Linked DNA regions of Schizosaccharomyces pombe. Changing the gene in region 4 together with the main gene of any one other region gives a genetic interaction. Each region holds a gene or a part of one and is shown on either strand. Other genes may lie near its edges.

The links.
Region 1: mutations in vrp1 (region 4) and ppr8 together harm fitness more than expected from each alone (negative genetic interaction), as found in Schizosaccharomyces pombe (one large-scale study listed by BioGRID).
Region 2: mutations in vrp1 (region 4) and met8 together harm fitness more than expected from each alone (negative genetic interaction), as found in Schizosaccharomyces pombe (one large-scale study listed by BioGRID).
Region 3: mutations in vrp1 (region 4) and sec72 together harm fitness less than expected from each alone (positive genetic interaction), as found in Schizosaccharomyces pombe (one large-scale study listed by BioGRID).

What each region holds. Positions count from the first base shown.
Region 1 is NC_003423.3:4,393,106-4,397,265, reverse strand, and holds ppr8 (PPR repeat-containing protein Ppr8), read left to right. Parts: upstream 1-1,818; 5' UTR 1,819-1,829; coding exon 1,830-2,009; intron 2,010-2,054; coding exon 2,055-3,320; 3' UTR 3,321-3,656; downstream 3,657-4,160. Other genes in the region: DNA-directed RNA polymerase I and III subunit Rpc40, read left to right, coding at 167-1,213. UniProt on the Schizosaccharomyces pombe protein: Mitochondrial RNA-binding protein involved in mitochondrial translation. The cox1 mRNA is one target but it is not clear if ppr8 has a single or multiple targets.
Region 2 is NC_003424.3:5,359,826-5,363,591, forward strand, and holds met8 (siroheme synthase), read right to left. Parts: upstream 1,750-3,766; 5' UTR 1,713-1,749; coding exon 1,678-1,712; exon of another isoform or gene 1,507-1,677; coding exon 747-1,506; 3' UTR 531-746; downstream 1-530. Other genes in the region: sum1 (translation initiation factor eIF3i), read left to right, coding at 1-528; protein Csi2, read right to left, coding at 2,083-3,766. UniProt on the Schizosaccharomyces pombe protein: Catalyzes the conversion of precorrin-2 into siroheme. This reaction consist of the NAD-dependent oxidation of precorrin-2 into sirohydrochlorin and its subsequent ferrochelation into siroheme.
Region 3 is NC_003424.3:4,386,464-4,394,453, forward strand, and holds sec72 (Sec7 domain-containing protein sec72), read right to left. Parts: upstream 6,031-7,990; 5' UTR 5,962-6,030; coding exon 493-5,961; 3' UTR 379-492; downstream 1-378. Other genes in the region: kti12 (elongator complex-associated protein Kti2), read right to left, coding at 6,436-7,109, 7,255-7,426. UniProt on the Schizosaccharomyces pombe protein: Guanine exchange factor that acts as an activator of arf1 at the trans-Golgi net-work and is thus involved in vesicular budding and traffic between compartments of the Golgi apparatus.
Region 4 is NC_003423.3:3,053,230-3,059,315, reverse strand, and holds vrp1 (verprolin), read right to left. Parts: upstream 4,052-6,086; 5' UTR 3,842-4,051; coding exon 3,043-3,841; intron 2,991-3,042; coding exon 2,860-2,990; 3' UTR 2,557-2,859; coding exon of another isoform or gene 1,256-2,556; intron 1,241-1,255; 3' UTR 1,099-1,240; coding exon of another isoform or gene 986-1,098; 3' UTR 925-985; coding exon of another isoform or gene 860-924; 3' UTR 513-859; downstream 1-512. Other genes in the region: rbd1 (rhomboid protease), read right to left, coding at 1-184; transcription factor TFIIIB subunit Brf1, read left to right, coding at 860-924, 986-1,098, 1,256-2,556; RNA polymerase II-associated Paf1 complex protein Leo1, read left to right, coding at 4,232-4,422, 4,613-5,711; SPOM_SPBC13E7.07 (uncharacterized protein), read right to left, coding at 5,984-6,086.

The DNA.
Region 1 (4,160 bases), 1.3 Mb from region 4:
GCTATTTACGCTTCTTCAAGTGCTCTACTACTATTGTCAGTTAATTTGCAATGTCTTACTTTTATTCGCACTATCGTGTTTACCACACAATAGCGAATTTTTACGCATATAAAGGTTTTAAAAGTTTATATTGCAACTTCTCACCGTTTTTTTCATAAAATTAAAAATGGCAGCGGTTGACAGATCAAGGACAGAAATCTCTGTCCTTTCTGATCGTGTTACAGATGTAGGAAGTGTAGATTTTCCAGGTTATTATTTTGATGAAGACAACATCTGGGATCTTGATAAATTTAAAAAAAATTTAAAAGTTTCGATTACGTCTCTCGATCAAGAAACAATGGTATTTGAAATTTCTGGAATTGATGCATCCATTGCAAATGCATTTAGGAGGATTTTAATCGCCGAGATCCCAACTCTTGCATTTGAGTTCGTGTATATCATAAACAATACGAGCATAATACAAGATGAGGTTTTGTCTCACAGAATAGGTCTTGTACCTATATCTGCTGATCCTGACATGTTTAAATGGTTTCAACATCCTCTGCCAGGACAAGAGGCAACTCATACTGATTACGATACTGTTGTCTTTTCCCTTAATAAGAAATGCGAGTTTAATAAGAATGCCGCTACAGATGAAAAAGATCCAAAGAGACTTTACGTTAACTCTGAGGTTTATTCGGGTGATCTAATTTGGAAACCGCAAGGTCGACAGGAAGAGCGATTTGCTGACAATCCTATACGAGTAGTCAACCCAGATATTGTTGTTGCAAAATTGCGTCCTGGCCAGGAAATCGATTTAGAAGCTCATGCAATCTTAGGTATTGGACAAGACCATGCTAAGTTTTCTCCTGTTGCTACTGCCTCCTACCGCTTATTGCCTACTATACATATCTTGTCTCCTATTGAAGGTGAAGATGCAGTTAAATTTCAAAAATGCTTCCCTAAAGGAGTCATCGAGCTTGAAGAAGGACCTGATGGTAAAAAACAAGCCCGTGTAGCAGACGTTCGAAAAGACACCGTATCCCGCGAATGCTTGAGACATCCCGAATTTGCAGATAAGGTGCAATTAGGCCGCGTACGCGATCATTATTTGTTTTCTGTTGAAAGCACCGGTATTATGAAGCCCGATGTCTTGTTCATTAAAAGCATTGCAGTCCTAAAATCGAAATGTCTAGCCGTAAAGTCTAGTCTTCAGAATATTTCTTCTGACTGAATGTCTGTTAAATTAGTTTTATATGTAATCTTTTGGATAATTGGGTACGCTGTTAAAAAATATACTTTTGAAAGTTATTGATTTCTATATTTCAATATTAACATTTTGTCCTTTCTTTAATTTTAAATTTAATTCATCATAGACATGTATTTTGTTGATAACCAGTAGACCTTTTAAAAAGAAGTGTTGGTTTTCAATCACTACTTGCCATCCTTTGAAAGTCCTTATAAAATGCTTTGAGAATTTATATGAAAGCGACGCCTTTAATTGATGCAACTGAAAAAATTACTTTTCATTATATTTTTACAGGGATTTTGAAGTCCTATCTATTAAATTACCTAAATTAAACTAGACTGATTGTATAAATTTTAAAAATATTGTAAATGCCGGTTTTAACTAATTTGCAAAGAATGTGCCTAAGCATGCAGCAGAGTCTTAGTTAAGTTGCTTTGTTACTACATGATTGAACTATTATAGGAAAAGAAAAATAAAATAGAATCAGTTCTAACATATTCAGGAAACGCCATTTTGCTGATCTTTTCTAGATCAATCCTGACTGAGTAGAGAGTAGCCACAACATGACTCAGCAACAACAAACTTACCCCAAGCGTATACCATGCAAGGATTTGGGAGCCAAATTTTTCGGAAATTGCTGCGTAGTAGTAATGCTAAAGTGTCAGATGCACTTTTACAAAATACGCGTACCCTTTTCACCGCTCCGCCTTTACATTCTGGGTTACAAACTTCATTCACCGCTGAAACTCAACAACATGTAAGGCAGAATTCTCAAAATTTGGTATGTAAAGGCTGATGTTTCCACCTTTTTCTAACAGGTAAATAGCTGAAACAATTAAATGATGAAATGAAGGCGCGCAAGTATACGGAAACCGTTGCTACTTTCAGCAGCCTGAAACCATTTGGCATTTTAGATAGTCAAACCATTAATAGATACATTTTGTTTTTGGTAGATCGGATTAAAATGCTCAATGGGAGAGGTAATGTAGATGAAGCTACTCTCGACAAACTTGATGATATACTTCGATATGCAATTGAACACCAAGAGATTGCCTCTGCTAGGTTTTGGCGAATTATGCTCCAATCATATATCGACCTAAACCTTTTTGACAAGGCTTCATTAATTGCTGATATGAGCTTAAGCCATATGGAGTTTTTACCTAAAGATGAACGAGTTTTAGGCAACCTCTACATCTCAGCACTTCAAGCTAAGATACTTGGAGGTGCCAGTTTTGAACAGTGTGGAAAAATAGGTTCAGCCATTCACGAGCAACTTGAAGGGAAAGAAGTTGTAAATGAATTGGTTGCTGTGTATTTGATTTATACTGTTTTCAAAGATCAAGGTATTAGCAGTAAAGCTCATAAAGCTTTAGTTCAATTTAACGGACTAACAAGTTTTCACTCCGATGTCATTATTTCAGTGTTTGTCAACAAAGGTCTCGTCGATCAAGCTGCTGCTTATCTGAAAAATTCTAATCTTAACGAAAGAAATCTACCAACGATCTATACAACCGTTTGGTTACTTCAAAGACTTTTTGAAGCACACCATTCTCTAGATCCTTTGCTAACTATTTTCGATTATTATCTTTCAGTGTCACCCAAAGATATCACTCGTTTGACAAATGCTATTTTAAGTCTTTCAATGAAGCAATTTGAACGAGATCGGGATATTAAAAAGGCTACCGACTTTATCACTACGTTTATCAACAAGATGTCAGATGTAAAGGAGTTCAAACCATCCATTAGTACTGCCAACACCTTGTTCTCTATTGCTAGTCGTTTAAAGGATGTAAAATGGCTTTCTGCTGGATTTGATATGATAGACAAGTACGGGTTAAAGCCTACTCATGTCACTTATCGGTCATTATTGAAAGCATACTGTTTATTGCCAAGCACATGTGAGCAAATTTCGCAGGCTTGGGTAAATCTTGAGTATCGTCTTGAAGCTATTTCCATTTCTGTTGCAGATAAAGAAATAAATCTCCTAAAGGACTGCATTCTATCTCAACCTGACAGAGATGATCAACAAAGTTGCCTGCAATTTCTGAATATGGTGCTATCAAAATACGGTAAACATATACGTTCGCCATAAATTTTTTTGCACTTTGGATAATCTCATATAGTTCTTCCTTTTAACGAGATTACGATTAAATGTGTACATCACAGCCATATTACCTGCATGCATTAAAGTTCAAAAGTGTTCACTCCCATCTTTTAATATGTCCCACACTTTCACAAATTGAGTTATTTATTTTATTTAGGAACGTTTCGGTGGTGATTTTTGATTTTCGTTTTATGAAGTTACCTGGATGGGTTTAATTGTTTACCTCTTTGATATTTGTTAATTTTCCTTAACGTACATACTCCTTTCTGTTTTTTGCTATAGCCATCTTTTATATTAAATATATATTTTTTTATTCCAGATACAGGTTTTGTGTTCGTCTTAATAGTTTAGCATCTAAAAACACCTGTTTATTCTCAAGAGATATGGATAGTTTGAAATACTTAGAAGCTTTGCCTGGTTTATGACAAGTACGAAAAGTAAGGGATTTAAACCGCGCTAAGTTATGCTGTTAAAGACAGCTTTAAACGAATATTAGAGGATATTTTTCCCGGTATTTGTAGGTATGTCTTGCTAGTGGAAAATTTGTAAGTTAAATTATTATCACTATATTTTAATGCTTTATATGCACTCAAACAGCTGGGGTCGGTGTATGTCATTGTATTAATGTGAGACCAAAGTGCTTTATTGTACTCTATGAATCACAAATTTTGCTTTACATTAAAGTATTAGTTTAAATTTTAACTGCTTATCTCGCAAAAAATACGCTGCCTAGAAAATATACTAAGTTTAAAATAGTAATTCATTTAGGTATGGTGGTTGTTAAAAAGAGCATATAAATAGAAAAATTTGATGTTTTGAAAGTAATGT
Region 2 (3,766 bases), on a different chromosome or scaffold from region 4:
GGATGGTCTTACTTGAGCAAGTTTCTCTTTACTGGTCATGAAGATGGCTCCGTTTCCAGATACGATGCTATAACCGGAGAATTCGTTGAATCTAAACAAGTTCATAATTCTGGTTCTACTATTACTGATCTTCAGTTTTATCCTGATCGTACTTACTTCATCACTTCTTGCAAGGATACGACTGCTAAAGCTATTGATGTTGATTCTTTTGAAGTCATCAAAACATACCTTACTGATACGCCTCTTAATACTTCTAGTTTTACTCCTGTCCAAGACTTCGTTATTTTAGGAGGTGGTCAAGAAGCCCGTGATGTTACTACTACTGCTGCTAGACAGGGTAAATTTGAAGCACGTTTTTATCATGCGATTTTAGAAGAAGAGTTAGGCCGCGTTAAGGGTCATTTCGGTCCTATCAACACAATAGCTGTCCATCCCAAAGGAACCGGTTATGCTAGTGGTGGAGAAGATGGTTATGTTCGGGTGCACTTCTTCGATAAAAACTACTTTGACTTCAAGTATACATTGTAGGTTAATTTTATTCAAAAAACTGTTGATAGTATAGTAATGGACAACGGAACTTTTTTCCAAAGATGTATCATTTTCGTTTAGGGAGCATTATATGAAAAATAACCTTCTATGAGTACAAGAGTTTTTTAATAAATTCCATTCAAAATTCAAATGTTTTAAAGTGAAAAGTAATGTAATTGTCATATTCCGTAAAGCAACTAACTTATCAAACGCTTCTTTTAACGAGCTTTTGAAACATGTTTGAGGAGAACAGCCCCAGAAATTATAATTGCTCCAAACCATATGTAGTTGTCTATCTTGCTGTAGGCTGGAGTCGTTATTTCTCGATAACTAGGTGTTTTTTTTGGGAAGTATCCCAAAAGTCGGTTGATGAGATTTTCGTCGAGCATGGCAAGTTCCTCCAAAGACCACAGTTCGCAAATCTCAATCATCCATCTCATTCTTTTGCGACTGTTTTCAGGTTCGGGAACAATGTCTCGTAATTTTTGTCGTAAAAGGCCAGTTTTTTCCAATGCCATACCAGTAGCTGGATTGATTGAACTTTCGATTTTTTTTCGTATTAAACTGGCAAGTTTTGGACCTTTACCATTGGTGCTAACCATAATTTGTAGAGGGCCGTTACGGATTTCAGACCCAAAGTAGAAATCACATTCAGGTGGAATATCCGCCGCATTGACCGGGATTTTTTTGCTTTTGCATAACTTATAAATTTCGGAAGACAAGCTGGGATCATCTATGGCTGTAAGTACCATGTTTACATCGTCAGACAAATCTTCGACTAGAAATCCCCTGTCTCGCCATTCAACTTGCTTCTCCTGTATTCTCCAAGCCACTTCTTTACAAAGACCAGCTTTTGGACTTACAACGATAACATGGGCATCCGCATTCAAAACATGCAATATACGCCCAGCTGCCACAACGCCACCTCCAACAATTAATACTTTTTTACCTTGTGCACGCCAAGCAATAATTAATGATCTAAAGCTTAGATTAGCCTAAAAATTACCTTGAGATACATCAAAAAACTTTGCTAGCTTTCATTTTGTATGCTTTGCTAATTTTTCAATTCTGTGTAGATGAAAGTTAAGATACTAAAAAGCTGAAAATGATTTATAGAGCCTTGTAACTTCATAAAGATGCTTGACTTACCCACCAGGCTGCACAGACTGATATTTTGAAGCCATTATTCAAATTTTATCTTAACCAAGTGTAGGTGTTCCTGTATACTTGAGAATTATAGTATCGCCAATTACAATTCGACATTCAGTATCTGCTTCCCTATACGGGTTAATAGTTGGGAATCCTATTACGCGTATACTATTCGTTTATTTAAGACCTAAATTTTCCAGTGAATTAAAACTACCTTGTGAATAAAATCCCGAGGACGTGCAAATTTTTGAAACTATTTCATAGCACCAACTAAGCATATTCCTATACATCATAGATTAATTAATATGCTAAATTTATATATTTTTTTCATTGACAAGAAATATCCATACAAAAGTAATAGATGAAAGTGGCTCTTAGACTACTTAGTCGTATTTAAATAAGACGTTAAAATTCTTCATTAATCTCCTTACCATGTATACCAATGTGGTATAAACAAATTTGCGACGTCAAAGATTCATTTTTTGAAAACGCCCTGAACACAAATGTGTTAAAATAAGCTTCTTCCAGAAGGCCAGGTGTGTCCGAGAATTTTGGAAGATAGTAATAATTTACTTCGAACACCGAAGACAAAGAAACAGGAATCGTGGCAAGCAAAACCAAGTTGTTCATGTTGCTTAAAATTTGATAATTGATATCATTGATAAGCCCAAACATTTGGATTTCACGCGGGAAATAAGAATCATCACCATGTATTGGAAAAATTAGTGAAATATGTCGCACGTACATTGGTCGATTTAAACGCACAGAAACCTGTACAGTATCTTCGTAATTACACCAATTACTATTGATGCTTGTGTCAAGTAAAGCCGTCGGTAGATTTGCTTTTTTTCCCCAGTAATCCCTTAAAATGTCAGAAAATTTAGGCTTAGGAAATGTCCATCCGTAGTCCACGACAGCACCAACAACTTTCAAGGCAAAGTCCGGGTGATCAGCAACATTTCTCTGGGAACAAGAATGTTTTATGTATTTTTCAACTCTTTTTTCTAAGTTTGAATTGAGTTTTTGATGAACAGATTCCTCAAGGTCTTTATGATAATAAGAATATGTGGCATCAAACTGCTTCGCCAAAAGATTTTTAGCAGCATCTTTTTTTAAATATAAACCGGAGTTTATGATTGAAAAATTGGTGGTCGATCTATTGCCATAAAAAGACTGTGATGAGTTGTGTCGCTTTACAATATACATAGCTTCTTTAGAGCTTTGAGCAATGTTCCGTAATATATCTTTCAAACAAAGAATATCAAGATTGACACTTTCGTGTAAATCTTCAATGCAAAGTAAATTAAAAATAGACTCTCCATTGTTAATTCTCAGAAAGCCCCGATACGAAGGATTTCGCAATAAATTGTAATGTTCGGCAAAAGAACAAATGGCTTGAACACTCTTATTGACTAATGAAATCGGGATGTTCCCAGGGTGTTTTTCGGAAACAGGCAGATGCGACACTAGGTATATGTCTTTTTCAATAAAATCTAGGTAAGTGTTCAGTAGAGGGTTAACAGAATCATTTATATCCTGTATTTTAAGATCATAAGTACTCATTAAATTTCTATCCCAAAAATGTAATAAAACATCTTCAGGGCTAATTGGATTTTGATAAAGAAGTGTCTTTGCCTCTGTAAGGTTTGACTGTAGCTTTAGCAATGGCATTATAGAATCACGTTCATTATATGTTGAAGAGGAATTACCAAATTTGGATTTAAACAGAGATTTCGCTTGTTCCAAGTGTTTGCCAAAACTTATATTAAAATTTGAAGGAATGAACCGAAAAGGAATTCTGTCTACGAAATCCTTATAAAAAAACTTAATATTTACTCGTCCATCATTAGGTATTAGTAAAAACAACGAGAAAAGCAAAAGAAATGAGAGTAAAAAGCTAACTTTTCGACGGTTCAAAAGAAACTTTATGATGGAAAATACAGTGCTGATAAATTCTAAAGCTTGCTTACAATAGTAAACGAAGAAAAAGATCGACTTTTTAAAGAATGTGTTAGAGATATTTCTAGATATGTTTGAGTTGACATCTGACTGCAGGCCACGGCTCAAAGGCGAAGGGTCGTTCACAGAC
Region 3 (7,990 bases), on a different chromosome or scaffold from region 4:
TGATACGCTGTAACTTCATGCTTCCTGATTATATCTTCCAAATCACTGGCTCCCTTTATTATTTTGTCATGGCAAAATTTTGTGAGTTTAATATGTTTTCTGTAAAGTAAATTTACCATTTGTACCTTGATGCTTCAACTCATAATGTACTCGTCTTTACTTTAAGCTATTCTATATTTAAAGGCCGCAGGGACATGAAATGAATAATAGAAGAGGATATTTCACGAAAAATCTTTAATTGATCGTTAAAAAAAAGGTCTCTGGTGTGTGTGGCAGTAGCATCTTCCTTCTGGCGTTGGATTACTACAAATACTGATTAGCTTACATGCAGAATATTAAGAGGTTGTTCAAGTTTTGAAAAAAACTTATTTAAAAGAAGGGCAATTTTTTAGAATAAAAAAGAAAGTTTACCAATAAGTTATCTAAAATTATAAAAGGATTATTTGTTTTACTAGAAGCTAATTTATTGAAATTAATTGAAAATCACTTTATTTATTCCTGTTGGGCATTCAGGTTTAATAGAATGTGACCCACACGATTAAAGTAATTTTTAAGTAGTTCTCTAAGTTGATCATCAAGGTTCTCCTTTGCAATCATAGAACAACAAGAAAAGTAAAGAGTGTGAATGTTTTCGGAAAATAATTCTAAAGGAAGATTCAGTATACTGTCCAGGATTGTAGCAATGACAGGCTGCCATGCAGCATGGTTACGCGTATGTTTCTCAACAACCAAGGAAGCATACATATCCAGCATTTCGGCACAAACCGGAAAAAGAAGTTTATGAATTTTCTGATCCGTTTCTGTTTTACCTAAAGGGTCTCTGGTTTTTAATAAGCGGAAGAGCAAAGTGATGTACAACAATGCACTAGCCGTTTCTTGTCTCAATAAATTAGGGAGTTGCTTCATAAATCCAACGTTCAAAAGCGTAATACGTAAAGATTTGTCTTCATTAAACTTGCGAGCAAACTGCCATGAGTCGTAAATAGCCACAGTTATTTTCAATACATGTTCATGGGGGATATGATTAAAAACTTCCTCGTTATCTAACAATTCAGCAACAATACTTATTAAAAGTAGTTGAAGAATACATTTTCGAATCATTGAACGGAACTCCATCTGTTTCTCAGGGGAAATTGAGGATGTCGAAATTGAACGAGAAGTTTCCGGTAGAGAACCGCCTCGCTTATGGCTCAATTGAGTATTTTCATTTTCGGAGTAAACAGGGGCTCCTTGCCCATTGGAAAATGTTTCTAGAAGAAGAAGCTGATGAGGGGTGGTTTCCTTGAATAACTCAATAAACATATCAGCGACCAGATTCCAATCTTTAACTTCAAACCTATACGCATTTCCAGAAAGTAGCTGCTGCATACAATTTGTTCCTATGCGAGAAAGTGTAATATTATCTCTACAAATGCAATTGCTAAATAACCATAGATAACCTTTTAGCAAATTGTGAAGTTTGTCAAAACGGCGTGTTAACAAAGTGACGAGACTTCGTAACGCTTCAACAAGAGTAGTAGATTGCCAAGTCCTGATCTCCTCATCCCTTAACATAACAGTCGCTTCATCCGCTTCTGGTCCAAATATTGAGAATATCGGGAATATAAATTTTCGTGAAACAACTTCCCAAGTTTCTTCAGTGAAATCATCAGACTCTTCTAAGAATATATAAAATAAGTTTTGAAGAGCTCTTGACCTTACTTCCAAGTCTTCAGCTGACATTATTATATCATAATATGCAAATAAAACTGGGAAAACATATTTAGAAAATGTCTCATTTACTGAAGGCTTGGAACTAAGTCCTTCCTTTATCATAGTTGAAAGACTTGAATAAACTTCTCTAATAATTTCCAAACTTTGTAAAGAGATTTTCTGGTTTGTTCCATTTTTGCATAATTCAGTGAAGGATATCAACATATCTATCAAACAATTTTGCTGCATTAAAGTATCATAATGCTCGGAAAAAAGATTGACAAGGGTATCAAAAGTCATAGAAATTAATATTTCGCTTCTAGCCTTAGCCGCAAATGTAAAAACGCCAAACAAAGTTTTCCATCCAGATTTTATTTTGGAAATTTTAGCTTGAATCATTTGCTTAACACATTGTAAAACAAGTTCTTTGACTTCTACTACGGTATCGGAAGCCATAACGTACTCAAATGGCTTAAGGAATTCTTTCTGAAAGGAAAAGAGAGACAACTCCTCAATTTCGAGAAAATGCATAGAAAGCTGCCTCAGGGAATCCAATGCAAAAACAGCAACATGCCTATTCTCATCACTACCCACCATGTTGAAGAATCTACCCAAAACGTTCCAAATTGATGACCATTCCACTCTAATCCTTTGCATGTTATAATAGGATATCTCAACCAGCTTTTGTAGACTATATAGCCTTGGCTGCTCCAAATCACTAGAAGATGTTATTTCATCCCAAGAAACTTCACATAATGCTTTAAAGAATGATACTATCGCAGAGCCAGAAAGAGAAGATGTTTGGGTAAATATTCTATCAATGCTCAACACTACCTCAGTGGACATTAGTTCTGAAACTGCCTCTGGGGATAAAGGTTTAGATAGTGAGCGAGTTCTAGTCGAACGAGAAGTACTTCCACTAACATGCCGAATTGAGTTTGAAGAACCAATGTTCACATTCTTTCGACGAACACGTGCATTTATAACATCAGGTACTTCTGTTTCATCGACACCAACACCAATCAGTTGCACGCGTTCTAGTTGACTTATAATAGTAAGGATATCTTTCCAAGAATCTTTCAAATTATTACCTTCGGTAGATGCAATTCTCAGTAATGTTTTTATAACCATAGTATTACGTAATTTGATTTCACTGGTAGAATGCAGATTAGTAAAATTAGTCAGAGTTTTTATAAAAGCGTCTCGAATAAGGTCAAGGTCAAAGAGACAAGCTATACGGACAACAAGCTGAAATCCATCAAGACACATATTAAGTTCATTAACATAATCAGAATTTTGTAAAGGGTTTGAAAGAGCAGCAAGTATAGGCATCCAAGTAGCCTCAAGCATGGGACCTATATGTTCAAAATGAGTAGCATTGTAATAAACATTTGTTTTTTGTGATCCATGTTTCTGTTGATACAATAGCTTTTTTAGCACACTTGTAGCCTTATTAGCCATTTCCTCCGAAGCTTGAATACAAGCTACTCTTTGCAGATCTCGTCCATTAGAAGTAAATGTGGTGAATCCACTAGATGTGCTGAAATTATTCATTAAAGGAGCAATCGCTGCGAGTTCTTGATCATCTTTCATAGCAATTTCATTTTTAAGAATGTCATCATATACAAAACCAAGATAGTCTTCATCTAAATCAGCACCGTCATTAATTCCACGATTATTTTTAATGAAGTCTTCTTTTGTCATTTTGTTTTTAATACGAGGAGAATGCAAATCAGTATTAAGCAATATTATAGAATAAGCAAGAATGTAGGCAGTATCAGCATTAGCGAATGCAGACGGATTCTCCTTCATATACCTTTCGGAAAATTTCAGCATAATTCGATCAATTTTTTGGGCTTCACCGGGTAGTCTGAAACACTGCAATAGACGACGTAAAGCGTCTACAAACTTTAAATTTATAAAAGATAAACAATCAATAAATTCATGCATCACGGAAATACTTTTCTCATCCCCTTCTCCTAAGTAATCTCCTAAAGTAGTTTTGTCAATACCATCAGCACGAAACAGAAATTCAGCGATAGCTTTAGGATCATTTATGTCAACATATTCATTTTCTGAAAGCATCTTAAGACCTCTAGTAGGTTTGTAATTGAACTTGTTTATACAAGTCCGTAATAGCTTCTTTCGTTGTTTGTTTGATTCAAATTGTGAAGGATCTGCAAGTGCGATAGAACTACTGCTATGGGAATTTGCTTCAAACGATTGTTTTCCGTTATAATAAGGATTCGTCACAGGAGTATCAGACCTGGAAAGCGCATCATAATCTCCAACAAAACCTTGCTCATCCGTTGACACACCTCGGCGAGATAAATAAAGACCACTTTCGGCCCAATTTGATAAAGATTGCAAAATGTCAAGGACGCATTGCAAAGTCTTTAGCTTCAATTGAAAATCGCTAAATGTGGTAAGTTGAACCACTTCGGACTTTAACGAAGCAGAGTTCGTATTTAGAAAAGGGGTACTACTCCGTTCAGAAGATTCTAAAGAAGGAAGAATTTCTTCAATATCTTCGGATATCGTTTCCGAAGGACCATTGGTAGTAACTTTTGAGATTGAAAACAGCAATTGTTCGAAAACGTTGGTAGTGGAAGAACGATCACAATCGTAATTTATATACAACTCTACAAGAGCTCTTGGATTAAGACAGATTCTCTGGATGATTAACAAGGTATGGAGCTTCTGATTGTAGGAGGTGTTCTTGAGGTCTAACATCGGAAAATAAACTTCTCGAAAAAACACTTCAATTTCCTGTTTGAAGTGGGCACGCAAAGAAAAAACCATAAGATAAAAAATGTCACAACAGACTTCAAACACCTGGGGAACAGGACTTACAGCATTGCGAGATAATACTAGGCAAATATATTGACGGGAGGCATGAACAAGGGTCATTCCTTTAAGTGCTGGGATACCACGAAATTGGAGAGTAGGATCCATGAATAAGTCACTATTTTTTTCTAAAATGCGATATATAAGATGGAGACTAATTAATTTCGCGCGCATAGCTTGAGATCTGATATTACTGACTTTATCAGGCGAGGTTTGTCTGACAGCAAGTCGACACATGGATCGGAACACTAAAAACGCGTCTTGGATAGAGGAATTCTCAACACTGGTGACAGCTGGGTCATCTGCGTCAACTTTAACATGATCTAATGATGAAGTGCCAGCAGATGCCATAGAATGAAGAGTAATTTTCTTGTCAGGCTCATCCTCATCGTGAACCCAATTTTCCGTCACCGATGCATCTTCTTCCGGTAAAGCAGATGTAGAGTTCGACTGAGTGTGGCTCGCGCGTAATCGTTCATAGACTACAGTGACAGCCTGAGTCAAAGAAGCTTGAGCAACTGACTGTATAGTATCACTATCCCCGAGAAGAAAGACATTAAAGAGTTTACGAACAGAATTCAATAATATCGCTCCATGAAGCATACTATCCTGCTCAGAACATAAGATAAAGGCAGATAAAGCTTTTACAACATTCAATTGCAGATTTCCATCAACAACTTCATCATTGATACTATCGCATACCATATCAACCATACACTGTAGAAGGGATTTAGGGGGCCCAAATGAGGCAGGTGTTTTATCTTTTGAAGAAAAATAGGCGAATGAAGCAAGTTTAGAAATAGTGTCTAAAGAAATGTTCATAACTTCATCTTGACTGGATTCAAAGCAGTACTGAAATAACTCTACTATCAAAAATTTGTCAAACTGACATTCGGTTTGTAGAAGAGGTTTTAGTTGCTCCATTAAATTCTTCATCTTCTCGTTCTTCATACAAACTTTTATTTGTATAAGCTGCTCGATGCACTTTATAAGCACTACATGAGTGGATTTTTCCAAATTGGTTAAACCTGATTTTTGCTTTTCCAAACTGGCCCTCGATGCAGCGTCAGGTACAGGCGTCGCGATAGTTTCATTGGATTTTTTGTCGTCTTTCAAGTCTTCTTCTTGATATTTCTGCTCGATTCCTTCGGGACTCTTTTCGTTTTCTTGTTTCGCTGGCGACAACGACGAATCTTCTGTATTTATATCAATACTTACCACAGCATCGCCTTCTAAACTTTCAGAAGCAACACGACCGAGATCCATACCATTTTCATCATCTTCGTTGTCAGAATCATTAATAATTTTAGTAACTGATGTTGTTCCAACTTCTGGAAGATCTTCGTGTCTGTCATGTTGCTCATTCACGGAGTTCATAGGCAGAGCAGGCATATTGATCACAGGTTCAGAGGCATCCTGCATTTTGGCATCGGTCACGTTCAAGCCAATTGCCGTCTAGACGAGCCAACTTTTAGCAATGAAATATAAGGCGGAGTATGTCTTTGCTAAGTGTTTTCGGCCTTAATGTGTCGAACGTTAGATCTCGGTTCAATGTGCTACTTATATAAAGCAAACGAGCGAGACTTATAATAAATTGTTTTATTACAGTATGGATTAAATAGTAAACATTATAACTAGATTTATACAATATTCGTTGTTTTACTGAAACTTTTATTGTCGATATTGACCGTGAACGTTTTCTTATTTCTTTTTTACAGGACAGCATTCCTTAAACTGTAAAAGGATTAAGGAATTAAACAAAATGTACGATTTCTACCATTTTAAACATGTTCTAAAAAAAAGAAACAAACAAAGTTAAGTATTAATATTAGGCTACATTTTTTCGTCCCCTTAAAAATCCCAAAAAAAAATATCATAAAGTTTAAGAAAAGGATATCAGTCCAAGGTTTCAAATTGACCATTTAAAAATTCGACAAACATTTCCTTGAGAACATTGGTATTATATGATTGTTGCCGGTTAATTTGGATAAATTGACGGCGCAATCTTTGAAGTAAAGGAAGAGATACTGTAACACTGGGTAATGCGATTTGAAGTTTGCTCCCTGGTACAGTAATCAAGGAGGTATCGTTGGAATTATCCAGTATAAGCATGATTACGTCTTGAGTAGTTTTATCTAATTCATATAAATAGTTGACTTCAGCTGGAGGTTTTACCATTGTAGCTTGGTTAGGCTTGACATTTTTGTTATGAATAAGAACTGACCAGATGTCATCGATAGGACAAGAAGCATCATCGTGCAAGACAGTAAATAAAGGGGAATCCCATCGTGTCATTCCATTCGGTTCTTCATAACGAAACATTAATTGCTCAAGAACATCGTCAGGATACGGCTGTTCCTTGTTACTATTGAATTTTCGACATAAATCTTGAGGAACAGCAACATGAATCACACAATGAGTTGTGTACATAGACTTTGATTCACAATATAACTGGTATCGAAATCCTTTTATGTAATTCAAGGCATCGCAAATTACGAATGTAGATTTTGAAAGTTCACGCTGAACAGCAGAATAGAGAAGGCCACGAGCGGCCTTTTCGTTCTTGGACTCTAAGACAAATTAGTTACCAGAATTACGAAAAATTGCATATACGGATTCTCCCATCATCTAGAGTAGCTGGGCACAATCTGAAGCCAAAAATGAATTGGCTAATTTCCAAAAACTAAATCATTAAAGATAACTATTTAAACATACCTCGATATGTTTCTTTTTCAATGTTTAAACTCTCATCGTTTATTATTATCACCCGATAATCCTTTGTATTGTCGATATTTTGATGAATTCGATCTTCTAAAGCCTTTTTAAGTTCATTTGACCTCGTTGTTTTCCCTGAAGATGGATAACCTGAAACAATTATTAATGGCATTTTCTTTATGTTCTACAAAATAGAAGGTTGAATAAAATCAGCCGTAAAACATATGTTTGAAAACTTCCAGCTTTTTTTTGATATATTTTTTCATGAATTTAACGAAAATTACTAGTTCGTTAAACATTAGTAAACAGTTAATTTTTATCCTTAATTTGTATTTCGTAATGCGCTCAATTTCGGTACTGACTTATTACTTACGACTAGTAAGTATTGCTTAGGCTTAAAAACACAGTAATTTCAATTTGCGGTCTCTTTAATTTAATCTTGCTTCCCTTTACCTTATCAATTGTTCTAAAAGAATTAAGGATTAACACTAGTAAGACCCCGGATTTTAATCGCTAAAAAAACATGCACGCCTTCTACGCAATCAGGGTTGTTCAATTTAAAAATAGTAATCATTTGTTGAAAGATTTTAAAGGTGCATAGGACATCAAGAAATATAAGCTAAATGCAGTTGATTAAAAGTTAGAAAAGTATCTACTTATGCCGCCATTAACATGTATCTGGTAAAATGCGACTAACTTATAACACATGTTGTATACCAGTCCAATGATTAATTTA
Region 4 (6,086 bases):
AGTTTTTTCTTCTTTTATCGAGATAATTGGCCGTATAAAAGGTGGCAGAACCAACACCAACAGCAAATGTAATCGGTTTCCATAATGGTGTTGGTTTAATATTTTCAATTCTGATCCATGGTCTGTAATAAAACCTTTTTTGTCCAAATTTCCAGAGTAAACTTTGAAAATTCAAACGATTCATCTGCGTATTAAATATATGTGAGAAAAGGTGAGTAAGGACTATGAGGTTGTATGCATAGAAACGCTAGTGTTGCCTAAGATAGAGAAATAAGAATCCGCTTACGCTTCTCACAGTACCTTAAGATCTTTACCAATATTTATTTAACTTCAAGCAATTTAAGTTATTTCTTTATATATTCTGTCTTACTTTTTATTCTCCTAATTACGTTACTTGCATAATCTTATATAAATATATATGCCAAACAATGTTTTTAACAAGTTAATTAACATAAAAAGATTTAATGAACCATATAGTCACGATTCATTAATCATTTGCTAAACTTGCAATGCTCGAGATAAACTAGAGAATTTACTAGTAAAAATTGTTATAATATATATTAAACTAAAAAGTCCAAATACCATATACAGAAGCAAAGTTCAATTTACTATTTTTAATTTTATTTTAACGCTCTTCATTTCCAAACCATTAAAAAAGAACAAAAAAACAAAATAAAATAACAAACAATTAAACCCGATTAAATTCTCTGTAGACCTTTAAAATATATGCTAGTATGCATATTTGCAGTGATATTTCTTTCCCCCCCCCCCACTTAAGTACTCCATGTGGGTTAAACTTAATCTTTGATAAATACCATTTCCCAAACAGCTAACGCCCAAGTGTTTTCAGTTATTCGCCATGGGATGTCCAAATTGCGGTTCAACTACTTTTGAATCTGATACCGCTTCTGGAAATACATATTGGTAAGTTGTTTTTTTTATTATATAATTTTAACGTGGCAATTGACTGCTAACCATTGAATAGTACACAATGCGGTGTTGTCGTCGAGCAAGATGCAATTGTTTCGGAAGTGACATTCGGAGAGGCTTCAACTGGTGCAGCTGTTGTTCAGGGTTCTCTTGTGAGTAATGATCAAAGTAAGTTAGAAGGCAATCATCCAGCAATGCGGTGTTTTACAGTTCTGATGCAGTCACCTTTTTTTGTTCAGTCTGTGTTAAATTTTGGTTTGATCTTTTACTAATAGACACCTCTTCGTCCATATTTTTCATCGACTTATATCTAACACAGCTTTAGCTCATGCTCGGACTTTTGGTGGCCCTTACAGAAATCAAGGATCCGTAGAATCCAGAGAACTTACCATTGCAAACGGACGTCGCCGAATTTCGGCATTGGCAATTGCTTTAAAACTTAACGAACGCCATATCGAAGCAGCAGTTCGCTACTTTACACTGGCAATTAACAACAACTTTATAAAAGGAAGGAGATCGCAATACGTTGTTGCATCCTGTTTGTATATTGTTTGCCGGATATCTAAGACGTCTCATATGTTAATCGATTTTTCTGATATTTTGCAAATTAACGTTTTTAAGCTTGGGTCTACTTTTCTCAAGTTGTGCCGCGTTTTAAGGCCTAATTTACCTCTTTTAGATCCGTCTTTATATATCAGTAGATTTGCTTCTTTACTCGAATTTGGACCGGAAACACATCGTGTCGCAAACGACGCTATCAGATTGGTAGCGCGAATGAATAGAGACTGGATGCAAATTGGTCGTCGGCCAGCTGGAATTTGTGGTGCATGCTTACTCATTGCAGCAAGAATGAATAATTTTCGACGAAGCGTACGAGAAGTGGTTCATGTCGTGAAAGTTGCGGATATCACTATTCAAAAACGCCTTGATGAGTTTAAATTAACTGAGAGCGGTGATCTTTCAATCGCCGACTTTCGAAACATTTGGCTGGAAGGACAGAGCGATCCTCCTAGCTTTACTAAAAATCAAAAGTTTCAACAATACGGTGCTCAAAAAGTTTCAAACATTGATCACACACAAGAATACATGTCCCCTATTAAAAGGACCCCGGATTTTGATGGCAACGAAGTTAAGTCTGAAGAGCTTTCGCAAACAGTAAAAGTTGAATCTCAAGAAACTCCTGTGCATTTGAAGGCCGATGAAAGAGAAATTAGGAAAGAGGTTACTGAAACCCTTAAGGGCGATGAACTTAGAAAGATTTCTCTACAAGTTAACGTTAAATTTTCGGAGGAAGAAGTTACCTTAGAAGACGTTGATGATGATGAAATTGAAGATATTTTGCTTGACAAGGATGAAATATTGACTAAAACTCAAGTTTGGATGGAGTTGAATAAAGATTATTTAGCTGAGGAAGAGGCGAAAAATTTAAAACTCCAAGAAGATTTAAAAAAAGGAATTGTCCGACAACCTCGTAAAAGAAGACGATATCGTCCTAGAGATAGCACTAGTGATGGAATAGCCGATACTGCTGCTGAAAGTGCAAAAGAAATGATGCAACAAAGAGCTTTTTCAAAAAAAATCAACTATGAAGCTTTGGATATGTTATTTGACGAAGAGCAGTCGTAACTTTTTACTAAATTTGGGCAATTGGGAGTTTTTTGGGGCTATTTAAGAACATTCGTTTTTTTGTTGTACGATAATCCTTTTTTATACATTAATTTATTAATTTTAGAGTTTATTTAACGATTTATTTATAAGGATTAATGAATCTTTATAAATAATTTTAATATTCATAAAAAAGGCCGCATGAATTTTTAGTTTTTTTCTATCACTGAGTAATTATTAGTATCCATCTAACGAAAGAAAATTCTGTGTTTAACAACTAAACACTGGTAGTAGATTAATCGTACACAGCTTTAAAAAGATTTGTTAAAATGAAGAGAGATTCAAAGGGACCGTAGTGCCACTACCACCCCGATAAACTTTAGGGACTCCAAGAAAGGGATGAGGAATTGGTAAGTAACTATCATCCTTAAAGTGGAATCTTCCATGATCATCAACTAGAGTTTTGTGTTAATAAAAAAATAATGCTTTTAATGATCGCAAACTTACCACGATTAGGTCGCTGCTGCAAGACGTAAGAAGATGGAGGAACTGGAGGAACAGAAGCTGAAGGAATGGATGGACCTCTATTAGGAAATTTAGGAGATTCTGATGTAACGTTAGGTGCATGTCCTGCTGGTGGAGCAAAAGAAGAAGGGCGTGATGATGTATTAGCAACAGGAGCTTGAGATAGAGGAGGTGGAGGAACTTTAGGTGGCATCGGAGGTACCGCTGAGGGCAATGAAGGAGCTGAAGGAGGAGATTTCACCGGTGCAGCAGGTTGTGCAGGTGGAGGTAGAGACGATGGAATAGGAGGTGCCTTTGAAGGAATAGGTGGAGCAGATGCAGGAGATGGTGGAGGAATTGAAGGTCGAGGGGGCGCACTTGTTGGCGGACGCAACTCAGATTGTGGAGTAGGAGGAGCAGGAGCGGAAGGTGGTGCGGCTGAAGCACTTGACTTTCCAATATGACGAAGCTTAGGCATGCCGCCAGCAAATAAACCTCCTAATGCAGGCATGGAAGGTCTCTCTTCTGCTTGCTGAGTATTATTTGAAGAAGTCGGTAAAGAGGGTGCGCCTGTGGGTACAGGAGGAGCAGCAAAGCTTTTTGGAGTGTTAGATTTACGTTCGCCTACGACACCTCCTCCGACAACGGGAGCCGATCGGTCGTTCGTTGTAGCTTTTTTTAGTTTCTTTCCTTTCTGGATAGAATTGAGCAGAGCTGATCGATCTCCGGTCATTAGAGGGGGGGCCGGAGCAGCAGCAGCAGGCGCTGGTGCTGGAGGAGGAGGCGGTGGTGCAGGTGCCATTTTATAAGAAGGAAGAATTAAAAATCAAAAATAAATCTTAACAAGCTTGAGGTCTGTAATCAAAATAGTAGATAATTCGCCTGTACACCTAACAATACAATAAAAGTAAAAGTTAAATTATCAGATTTTAAATGATTTTACAAAAAATATTCGCTATATACTTTGACAATAATAAATATAACTCAAAATATAAAGTGGAAACACGGGTATGGGTTTTAACTATGAGCTACCCTAAGCTTTCTACCACCACCATGCACTACAAGTAACAGGATTGTACCTTCTAGTGATTATTCAATTTAATGCATCTTAGTACAACACCATACGTATTCTGACCGGAACCAATCTGGAAAGTTTAGACTGGTGAATTTTTGAGGAATTTAAATAGATTTAATGTCGGATTCTAAAGAAGACATCCGCAACGGTCAAGAGGAAGATGATTTGTTTAGTGAGAATGAAGACAATCATACTTCGCAGCAAGATGAACTTATAAATGGCCATATAGAAAACGATAGTGAAACAGCCGTTAGCGATGACGGCTTGTTTTCGAATACAGAAGAGGCTACTGAAGCCCCTGAAGCAGAGTAAGTTGCAGTCTTATAGATGAAGCGAATTGATTCTAGCCGATGGTAGTTCTAAATGTGTATTTATTATACAGCTGCCACAGTGGTGAAAGTAATAAATCGCTTCATGAGGCTTTTTAGTAAAAAATCAAAAATTAGCGTCTTTTACTATAGCAAGCTATTTAAATCTATGCATCCTAACAAATGTTAGTGTTCCTGTAAAGAAAGTCCTTGAAGTCGCTGTTCCCAATTTCAAATCACCAGCTTCTGCTAGTAATGACGTGTTTCATGCTCATATTCCAAATTTCCTTTCTGTGGAACAGACTCCGTACGATCCAGAGCAGTACGCCGCGGAAGCCGAAGCAGATGCAGCTTTATTAGAACACGACGCGCATTGGGGTCAAAGAATAAAACATAAAGTTGATAATACTGTCCGCTGGCGATTGGGGCCGTCTGGAAGCTATCAATCGAATGCGCAAATTGTACAATGGTCTGATGGTTCATATTCACTTCGCATTGGTAACGACATATATGATACCCAAAATAAATTAATATCTCAACCAACTTTTGTTACTGCCTCACATGAAGCACAACATTTACTGAGAGTTCAAACATCCTTCAAAAGCAGTTTTACATTCCTCCCTTCAGCCATTAACACTGCTACAAGATCAAAATTGCCATCTATGCGTCTCACCACAGTCCAGGTTCCTAGTCGAAGCGTACAAGAAATTATTATTGAAAAGGATCCAGAACTACTAAAGCGTCAGGCTGAAAAATATGAGGAGGAACGAAGTCGAGCTCGGCGACGTTTAGAGAAAAGAAAGCAATTGAACAATTATCAGAATGGAACAGGAGAAGAAGAAGAGGATTACTCTTCCTTCTACGGTCCCCGTTCTACTTATAGCGAACAAAATGAAATCATTGACAGTGACCGTATGGATCGTTTAAAACGAATTAAACAAGAAGGAGCTGGTCAATATCGTGGTTATAATAAGGATCTGGAAGAAAATGAAGAAGATGACCTTGGTGACTTTATAGCGGAAGAGGAAGAGGAAGAGGAACAAGAAGAGGAACAAGAAGAAGATGAAGAGGATGAAGAAGAAGTTGGAGCTGGCTCCGATATAAAAGGATTTGATGCGGATAAAGAAGCAAGTGTAGCACGAGCTACTATTAATAAATATGAAGACGATGAGGTAATTCCTAGCGCAGTGGAAACTGACAGATCCGAGACCGTTACAGAGACTTCTGTCGGTGATGGTTCTGTACAAAGAAGAGTGAAGCGTCGGATTGTTGAGAGCGATAGCGAATAAATCCAAACAGCTTGTAATTCAATTTTTGTAAATAGCCAATTTGTTTGTTTGCGAAGTATGGTCTCTGTGTTATTTCGTTGATTTAAAAGATGTTTATTAATTGTACATTATTCTTATATCTTGTCTAATTTTTAACGCAATGGGATTCACATGTACAATAGCGAGAATTGTAGTGAGCAACTATATAAAATAAAACTACTTTTTTTAAAGCAAATATGGCGGATTAGGTGTTGAGATGTATTTCTGTGATCATTAAAGCGTGATATGAGTTCCTACCACAAACTATCATATCGGTTACCTTTGGAAGAGCCTGCTTGACCGTTGTTAATATAAGAGTAAGCAGAACGGCTAGAATTGTTTAGCCCTCCACGAGGC